Linked DNA regions of Xenopus tropicalis. The protein of the gene in region 1 purifies or fractionates together with the protein of each later gene. This does not show direct contact. Links are inferred from orthologs where the notes say so. Each region holds a gene or a part of one and is shown on either strand. Other genes may lie near its edges. The genes, in order: pex1 and pex26.

Region 1 (3,731 bases):
GACACTTTGTATGCATGAATATTTATCAATATGCTGTTTCTGCTCTTTAAAACTCGTGTGAAAATTAAGTTTTGATAGTAAACAAAGTTTGGTTCCTCATTAAAATAATTTCTTGCACTGCAGGGTTTGTCTCATTTTTCTGTACATATACAATAATACATGCCTGCAGAGCTTATGGCGAGGCTCCTTCTTTACATATCATCAGTTAATATTATGAGTATGAACTAACTGCCTTAACTGAGGCACCCGGCACCCAATGTAACAGAACAGTGTAAGTTCTGTATGTATTAAAGAGGTGGTTGACCTTTATGTTAACTTTTACTATGTTATAGAATGTCCTAATCCTAGCAACTTTGCATCTGGTCTTCATTTATTATTTTACAGTTATTTCACTTACACTTCTACATCTTTTCAGCTTTTAAAAAAACATTTGCTCTGTGATCTTACAATTGGATAATTACGGTTACTTTTTTTTTTTTTTTACTTATTCTATTCAGTCCCTATTCATATTCCAGTCTCTCATGTAAACCACTGCCTGGTTGCTAAGTTAAACAAGACTGTAGCAACCAGAGAGATGCTGAAATTCCAAACAAAAAGCTAAATAGCTAAAAAAAACAAAAAAAAACCCCCAAAAAGCTAAACACAAAAATAAAAAATGAAAACCAATTGCAAACTGTCTTATAATATCACTGTCTACAACATACTAAAATTGAATTTAATGGTGAACAACCCCTTAAAACCACAATAAATGCAGGTCTCACATTAGGGTGAATGTTCTAAACACATATATATAACTGCACCCTCACAGGAGAAATTAATGTAAATATTTTGTTAGTAATTACAGCATTTCACAATTTAGGATGAATGAATTACTAACCAGACCATGTGAAGGAGCCCCTTAATATAATTTGTGATGGGTTTTACAGAGCAGAGCAAACATATGTGGGATAACAGATAAAAGAAAGGTCTAAAAAAATATATTTACAGGACTCTCTTCTACGGGCATCTATACTGCAAAGCCCAATAGCATTTAAGATAGATGTGGGTAGGGAATGTAACAGAAGAATATGTAACATTATACCACATTCATGCAGTTGGCCTTGGGTACACTGATCTCATCATCTACTTTCTGACATTGTTCCTGACTGTGTTGCTGGTGATCTTCTGGTGAGCTGCTTATAAACACTAGAGGTTGTGAAGGCACTAATTCTCCTATAGTCGGGCCAGTAAACTCATGTGTAATGGAATTGCTTCCAGAAAAGCTCTGGGAAGTCTGTAAAGACAATTGAAGAGAGCTGTTACATCTGTTCCTATACATCTGTACATATTGATAGTGGAAATGTAAACGTTTGCAAGAGGTTGCCAGAAATACACATTTTAACCCAAAGATGGTTTATTTAAAAAAACACAAAATTCATTTAGATATAATAGTTTATAATTTATTAATGCGATTTTAAAATTCTTTACACATTAGACATGCTTTAGTGAACAACACTTGAAAAGCGCAACACAACCCTGCAAATAATGCCTGCCATAGGCAGGTGGAAAGTGCATCTTACACCCATTGGTGCTCCCTAGATTGCTTGTCTGAATAATGCGCAAACTTGGGAGTATCCAAGGAGTTTCCTACATAATGCCCCCAGCCCACCACCCTGTGAAAGTAAAGACGCCACATGCTGGAATGAATGTCTTCGATGGGATGCTTTATCATATCCAAGGAGGGTAAAGAGTGATCTAGAACACTATCTTGGTCTCCTCCCGAGTCATCAGAATCACTTCTGTGGTTTAGGAATATTATGGAAGACAAGCTCATATCACTGCTCCCTAGATTGTTTGTCTGAATTATGTGCAAACTTGGGAGTGTCCAAGGAGTTTCCCACATAATGCCCCCAGCCCACCACCCTGTGAATAGATATGTACTGCAGATAACACGGTGTTCTGACCTAGGAACCCCTGCACTACACTATATGAATGCAAACAATCTGCCATAAACTACTATATAAAGGAAGCTTGTGTAAATGTTTTAAAACTGATCACCCCAATTTCAAACTGCTCAAAAATGCATATAGAGTAAATCTGATCATAATTCCTACCGGTGACCCCAAAGTCAGTGCTTTTATTAACTGAAAACTGCACTCATATTCTTAAATCTCTTACAAGTTCCAGGTGCACATGTACAGTGGGATTAAAAGCAGAATTTAAAAGGAAAAACTCAGCTTTTTTTACTGAGCATGTGGCCCAGGGCCACAAAGAAGAATGAAGAGTTGGGAGAAGGTTGTGATGTGGTGCTCCTATGAAAGTACCCCTGGCTGGTGCAGTTTTCAGCTAACAGGAGAACGGGCCAGGGGTTTTATGTAAAGAAATATAATCGCTGGGGTGTGCCTAACATTAGGCATCCCCCAGTGATTATACCTTTTCTTCTCCTTTAATGCTTCAGTGCAATACAAAATGGGCACGAAAAGCAAGAAAAGCAGCACAGTTAACTTAATACCACAACAAACCAGAGTTAAGTATGAGCTATAGTGGCCTTAAAATGATATTTTAATCAAACCTAAGTAGAAAATCTTACAAAAATATTGCTTGTCATTGCATACTTGTAGTATAACCCAAATAAAGGCGTCATGTTATAAAGACTTTTAAATTGATACTTTGCATGCTGCATGCTGAACTGGAAAAAGACAATTATTAATTCATTCTAGAGGAAGATGAACAGCACAACAGATAGTAACAGTCACAGCTTCCCATGGGAAAGCTTGGGTCACCCATACAGAAAGCAAGGTCTAAATACAGCTGTCACCCTGAATTTAACGTTTTGTGGTACACAATGGGGCTGGGACAACAGTATCCCAGGAAATACTATTAGGATTCAATACAAATGATCTGAGGGATAAAATGTGTATTTGCATGCAACATGGACTCTGCCTAATTATCTTCACACTTTTTTTTACTGTAAACTAGCTGATAATAACTTGATTCTGGTGACATGGATTAATAAAGTGGAAACTGACCTAATCTACATAGAAAATAATGCAGGACATCCACTGAGCCATAGGGAAACAGCTTGCATAGCCAGTCTGTAATAATCTTAGGAAATCACCTGTTCTGAACTGCCGTTTCCAAGGTCTGAATCATATGAATTTCCAAAGTAAAGACGCCACATGCTGGAATGAATGTCTTCGATGGGAAGCTTTATCATATCCAAGGAGGGTAAAGAGTGATCTAGAACACTATCTTGGTCTCCTCCCGAGTCATCAGAAGCACTGCTGTGGTTCAGGAATATTATGGAAGACAAGCTCATATCACTGTCAGATCCAGAATTGTTGTCCTGAAACATCAGAAGGAAACAATGCATTAAAATAGTATTGGAAAAGGAAAAATGTAAAATGCAAGTTGAATTATTTTTTAAACATCATCTAAAGTACAGAGACATCTGGGCATGTTTCATATGACTGACAAATAGCAGCTCACTAACTCACCTTATTTCTATTACAGACCTAGTGCTGGGCAAGAGCTAGCAGGATTCATAGCTTGGGGCTGTGCCTCTTCTGCCAAAAGCTTTTCCCAATACACATGGTCTAATCTGTATAAACAAATTTATGATACCAAGCCCACCTAAATAACAGGCTTTTTATTATTATTAAGAGGGGCCCATCAGTATAAAAGACTTTTGATTATAAGGGGGGCCATAAGTATAAAAGGCTTTTCATTATAAAGGGCCCATAAGTACCACA
Region 2 (4,294 bases), on another chromosome or scaffold:
ATGGTGGTACACTTGGGCAGGTTAGAAAGGCAACAATGGGCAACCAGCAGCCCACCCTCCCCACCACCCTATGGCTTCGCCTATGGGCACCATTATTCAGGTCAAACATTTGCTTTTCAGAGCTTGCAACCATCTATGTGAACAGGACTGGGAAATGCCCTAGCCTACCCACCGATTCACTGCTGCCCAGCAATAAACGGGTTTAAATACTCATTCAAAATTGCACAGTCTCTTAAGGTGCCCATACACAGGCCGATTGTAGCTGCCGATATGGACCGATTCGGCAGGTTATCGGCCCGTGTAGGGGAAACAACATCTGGCCTGCCTGAACGACATCTGGCCTGCCTGACCAACATCTGGCCTGCCTGACCAACATCTGGCCTGCCTGACCAACATCTGGCCTGCCTGACCAACATCTGGCCTGAAATCGGGCAGATATCGATCGGGCAGGTTAAAAAATTTAGTCAGATCGGGGACCGCATCGGCTCGTTGATGCGGTCCCCGAACTAACTGCGCCTATTCCAGTCGTTATAATTTGATTGTTTGGCCCCAGGGCCAAACAACTGAATTAGCTTAATTCACCCGATATTACCCACCTGTAGGTGGGGATATTGGGAGAAGATCTGCTCGCTTGGCGACCTTGCCAGGTGAGCGGATCTTTACGTGTATGGCCACCTATCTGTGTTTTTACGACCCAACTGCTGCAATTGTAGACTCTTCTACAGACAGTCTGCCGGGGCTGCAGTGCAAGTGTTCACAGTATGGGTGGATCTGATTGGCAGGAATGTTCATACCAGTTCGTCCCATTGACTCTGATTGGCTGTGCTCGTCCCTCTCTGTAGCGGCAGCAGCTTCATACTCTTCCCACTGTCTCCTGTGTTCGCTCACAAGCGCCAAGGCTATGTGCCTCTGCTTTTCCGTGAATACATCCGAATCCTGAGCCAGCACTTCAGCATCAGAAAACAGCCCCAGGGGTAGTAGTATGTGCAGCAGATGGAGCTCTGCAACCCTGCAGCAGTTTGGCAGTAGCCGATTGGCTTGGACTTGCAACCAATCACTACTTACTTCCAGCATAACTTGTGGCTGCTTTACCTTCCCATACAACAAAATGCTAAAAAAAAAAAAAAAGAGAATACAATGAAAATATACAGACGTTTAGGGATCAGGGGGCAGTATATACATTTAATATCAGTGTAGGCACAAGGGATATTAATGTATTAATGCCCCCTACCTGTATGTTTCTGGACTGGCGGAAGAAGCCCCTCAAAACTACATGGCAAGCTCAATTTATTTAGTGTTAAAAGTACAATCTAAACCAAGACCCCAATTCTACCATGATGCAGACTGCAATCTAAAGTCTACGACAAAAGCAGCGCTTATAGTAAGGAAAGGCTTGATATATGATATACTCACTCACCACATCTCCATAATATTGTAAGGCATCTCCTGTGGGGTTTGGTAATACTGAATTAGCCAAGGAAGCACTTCCCTCCATCTTCCCAACTCAACCAGACACTGAATCGCAACGACACAGAGAGACGTCTTCACCTGCTCACACCTCAAGGATAAAGGACACGTCAGACTGAACATTAAATAATAAACAAATCAAAAACTGCAAATAGTCTCAGAACAAAACTGTTTACAGCATTCTAAAAGTTAAGGTAAAGGTAAACTCCTTGAAGCTAAGGGGGGGCCCAGCCTGAAGGCCAGTTAGGGGGGGATTTGGGGTGAGTGCTTATTTGTGCCCTGGGTACCCCTGGAACTATAGCAGGGTGACTGTTACCCCAATGTTTCTATATATCTGTAACCTTGTTATGGGCTAAGGGGGCCCAGCCTGAAGGCCAGTTAGGGGGGGATTTGGGGTGAGTGCTTATTTGTGCCCTGGGTACCCCTGGAACTATAGCAGGGTGACTGTTACCCCAGTGTTTCTATATATCTGTAACCTTGTTATGGTCTAAGGGGGCCCAGCCTGAAGGCCAGTTAGGGGGGAGATTTGGGGTGAGTGCTTATTTGTGCCCTGGGTACCCCTGGAACTATAGCAGGGTGACTGTTACCCCAATGTTTCTATATATCTGTAACCTTGTTATGGGCTAAGGGGGCCCAGCCTGAAGGCCAGTTAGGGGGGGATTTGGGGTGAGTGCTTATTTGTGCCCTGGGTACCCCTGGAACTATAGCGGGGTGACTGTTACCCCAATGTTTCTATATATCTGTAACCTTGTTATGGGCTAAGGGGGCCCAACCTGAAGGCCAGTTAGGGGGAGATTTGGGGTGAGTGCTTCCCCATTACTTCTATACACTTTGTGATGAGAGAAAGGGAACTCAAAGCAACTCACTTTGCATCTGTTGGTTCAGCAGACAGGATCTGTAGGCCTCTCTCACAGATTCCAAGGGAAGCTGCAAAGTTTCTCTCCAGCACCAGCAGGTCGGCAGCTGCGTCCAACAGCGGCACGGCAGGGGGGGTCCCAGACAATGACAGATGCGACCAATCCCACATAGCGCTTAGCGAACAGCTGGACACATTTTCTGCAACTGCCATGGGGTTCCTGCTAACAAGGGAAGAGAACATGTACAATTTAATATTGCGTACGAAAGAGAGTTTTTTTTAGTGTCTTTACGTCTAAGCCCCCACACTTTACTGTAACCAACCTTCCCTGCCCTGCAATATGTCCTCCCCCTAAATAATAATACACTTCCTGCACACAGTTATTACAGGTTAAAGAGCACAGACTGGACAGACAGCAAAACCTTATCTCACTGAATTAGTCCCAGAACAGAACAGCATTCCCCCCTTGCCATAAACACAACATAGGTCCACCCCTCACCCACAATTCCACTATTACAACTGCACCTTTCTGACATTTACACACGGACAGGTGGAACGCATAAGCTCCACAGACCGGAAGTTCTGACTGTGACACACTGACAGGTGGAACGCATAAGCTCCACAGACCGGAAGTTCTAGCTCAATGCCTGCTAAGGATCTGATTGGGTCGCAGAACCATGTGACAGTATCCTTGCAAACGATAGGCCGAGTACTTCGTATGGAGTTGTGGCAAAGACACAGAGGGATAGCAGTGTAGCAGGGGCAGTTGTGTGGGGAAGGGGAGGGGCCCTTACTGAAAGGAAAACTTAATATCTAAATAAAACAATATACTGCTTTGTTTTTTAAAGTGTGTATGAGGCAGAGCCTTGTGTTTTAGCTGGTGCCATGCTATGGCTGGGTCTGCCATTCTGCCAATCTCTATTGTGCCATACCCTTCTCCTGTTGTCAGGGAGAAAGAGGGGGTACTATTGTGTGGGGGCAGGTTTGGCCCAAACAATTGCCACCTTAGGTGCAGGTCAGCTTTGCCCACATATAGTTCACTGAATCGGTACTGTACAGGTTCAATTTAATTTGTTTCAGGCTCTGCTATTGATCTTCCAAACTGCTCCCTTGTTGCTAGGGTAATCAAGTCCTAACAACCACATAGCAATTGGTCTTCATTTTGTATTCCTTATAGTTTTTGAATTATTTGCCTTCTTCTGATTCTTTCCAGTTTTCAAAAGGGGGTCACTGACCCCCAGCAGCCAAAAACTATTGTTCTGGTTTTACAATTTTATTGTCTTATTAGTTATTGTTTAGCCCATTTCCTATTCATATCCCTCCCATTCAAACCCCTGCCTGGTTGCTAGGTTCATTTGGACCCTAGCAACCAGATACCTGTTGGAGATCTGCTGAACAAAAAGCTAAATAATACAAAAACCACAAATAATAAAAAAAAGAAGACCAAATACAGGTATGGGATCCCTTATCCGGAAACCCGTTATCCAGAAAGTTCCGAATTTAAGGCCATCTCCCATAGACTCCATTATTACCAAATAGTTCTAATTTTTAAAAATGTATTAATAAAACAGTAACTTGTACTTGATCCCAACTAAGATATAATTACTCCTTATTGGGGGCAGAACAGCCCTATTGGGTTTATTTAATGGTTAAATGATTCCCTTTTCTCTGTAATAATAAAACAGTACCTGTACTTGATCCCAACTAAGATATAATTACCCCTTATTGGGGGCAGAACAGCCCTATTGGGTTTATTTAATGGTTAAATGATTCCCTTTTCTCTGTAATAATAAAACAGTACCTGTACTTGATCCCAACTAAGATATAATTACCCCTTATTGGGGGCAGAACAGCCCTATTGGGTTTATTTCATGGTTAAATGATTCCCTTTTCTCTGTAATAATAAAACAGTACCTGTACTTGATCCCAACTAAGATATAATTACCCCTTATTGGGGCAGAACAGCCCTAT

What was found.
Region 2: the proteins of pex1 (region 1) and pex26 purify together in Homo sapiens (affinity purification with western blotting; 3 studies listed by BioGRID and IntAct, with this or other methods). This does not show direct contact. The link is inferred for Xenopus tropicalis from reciprocal best matches to the Homo sapiens genes PEX1 and PEX26.

Annotation. Positions count from the first base shown.
Region 1 is NC_030682.2:31,796,642-31,800,372, reverse strand, and holds part of pex1 (peroxisome biogenesis factor 1), read right to left. Parts: intron 3,326-3,731; coding exon 3,098-3,325; intron 1,274-3,097; coding exon 1,082-1,273; intron 1-1,081. UniProt on the Homo sapiens protein: Component of the PEX1-PEX6 AAA ATPase complex, a protein dislocase complex that mediates the ATP-dependent extraction of the PEX5 receptor from peroxisomal membranes, an essential step for PEX5 recycling.
Region 2 is NC_030679.2:8,465,387-8,469,680, reverse strand, and holds the start of pex26 (peroxisome assembly protein 26), read right to left. Parts: upstream 2,829-4,294; 5' UTR 2,797-2,828; coding exon 2,756-2,796; exon of another isoform or gene 2,746-2,755; intron 2,547-2,745; coding exon 2,334-2,546; intron 1,559-2,333; coding exon 1,418-1,558; intron 1,112-1,417; coding exon 795-1,111; intron 1-794. UniProt on the Homo sapiens protein: Peroxisomal docking factor that anchors PEX1 and PEX6 to peroxisome membranes. PEX26 is therefore required for the formation of the PEX1-PEX6 AAA ATPase complex, a complex that mediates the extraction of the PEX5 receptor from peroxisomal membrane.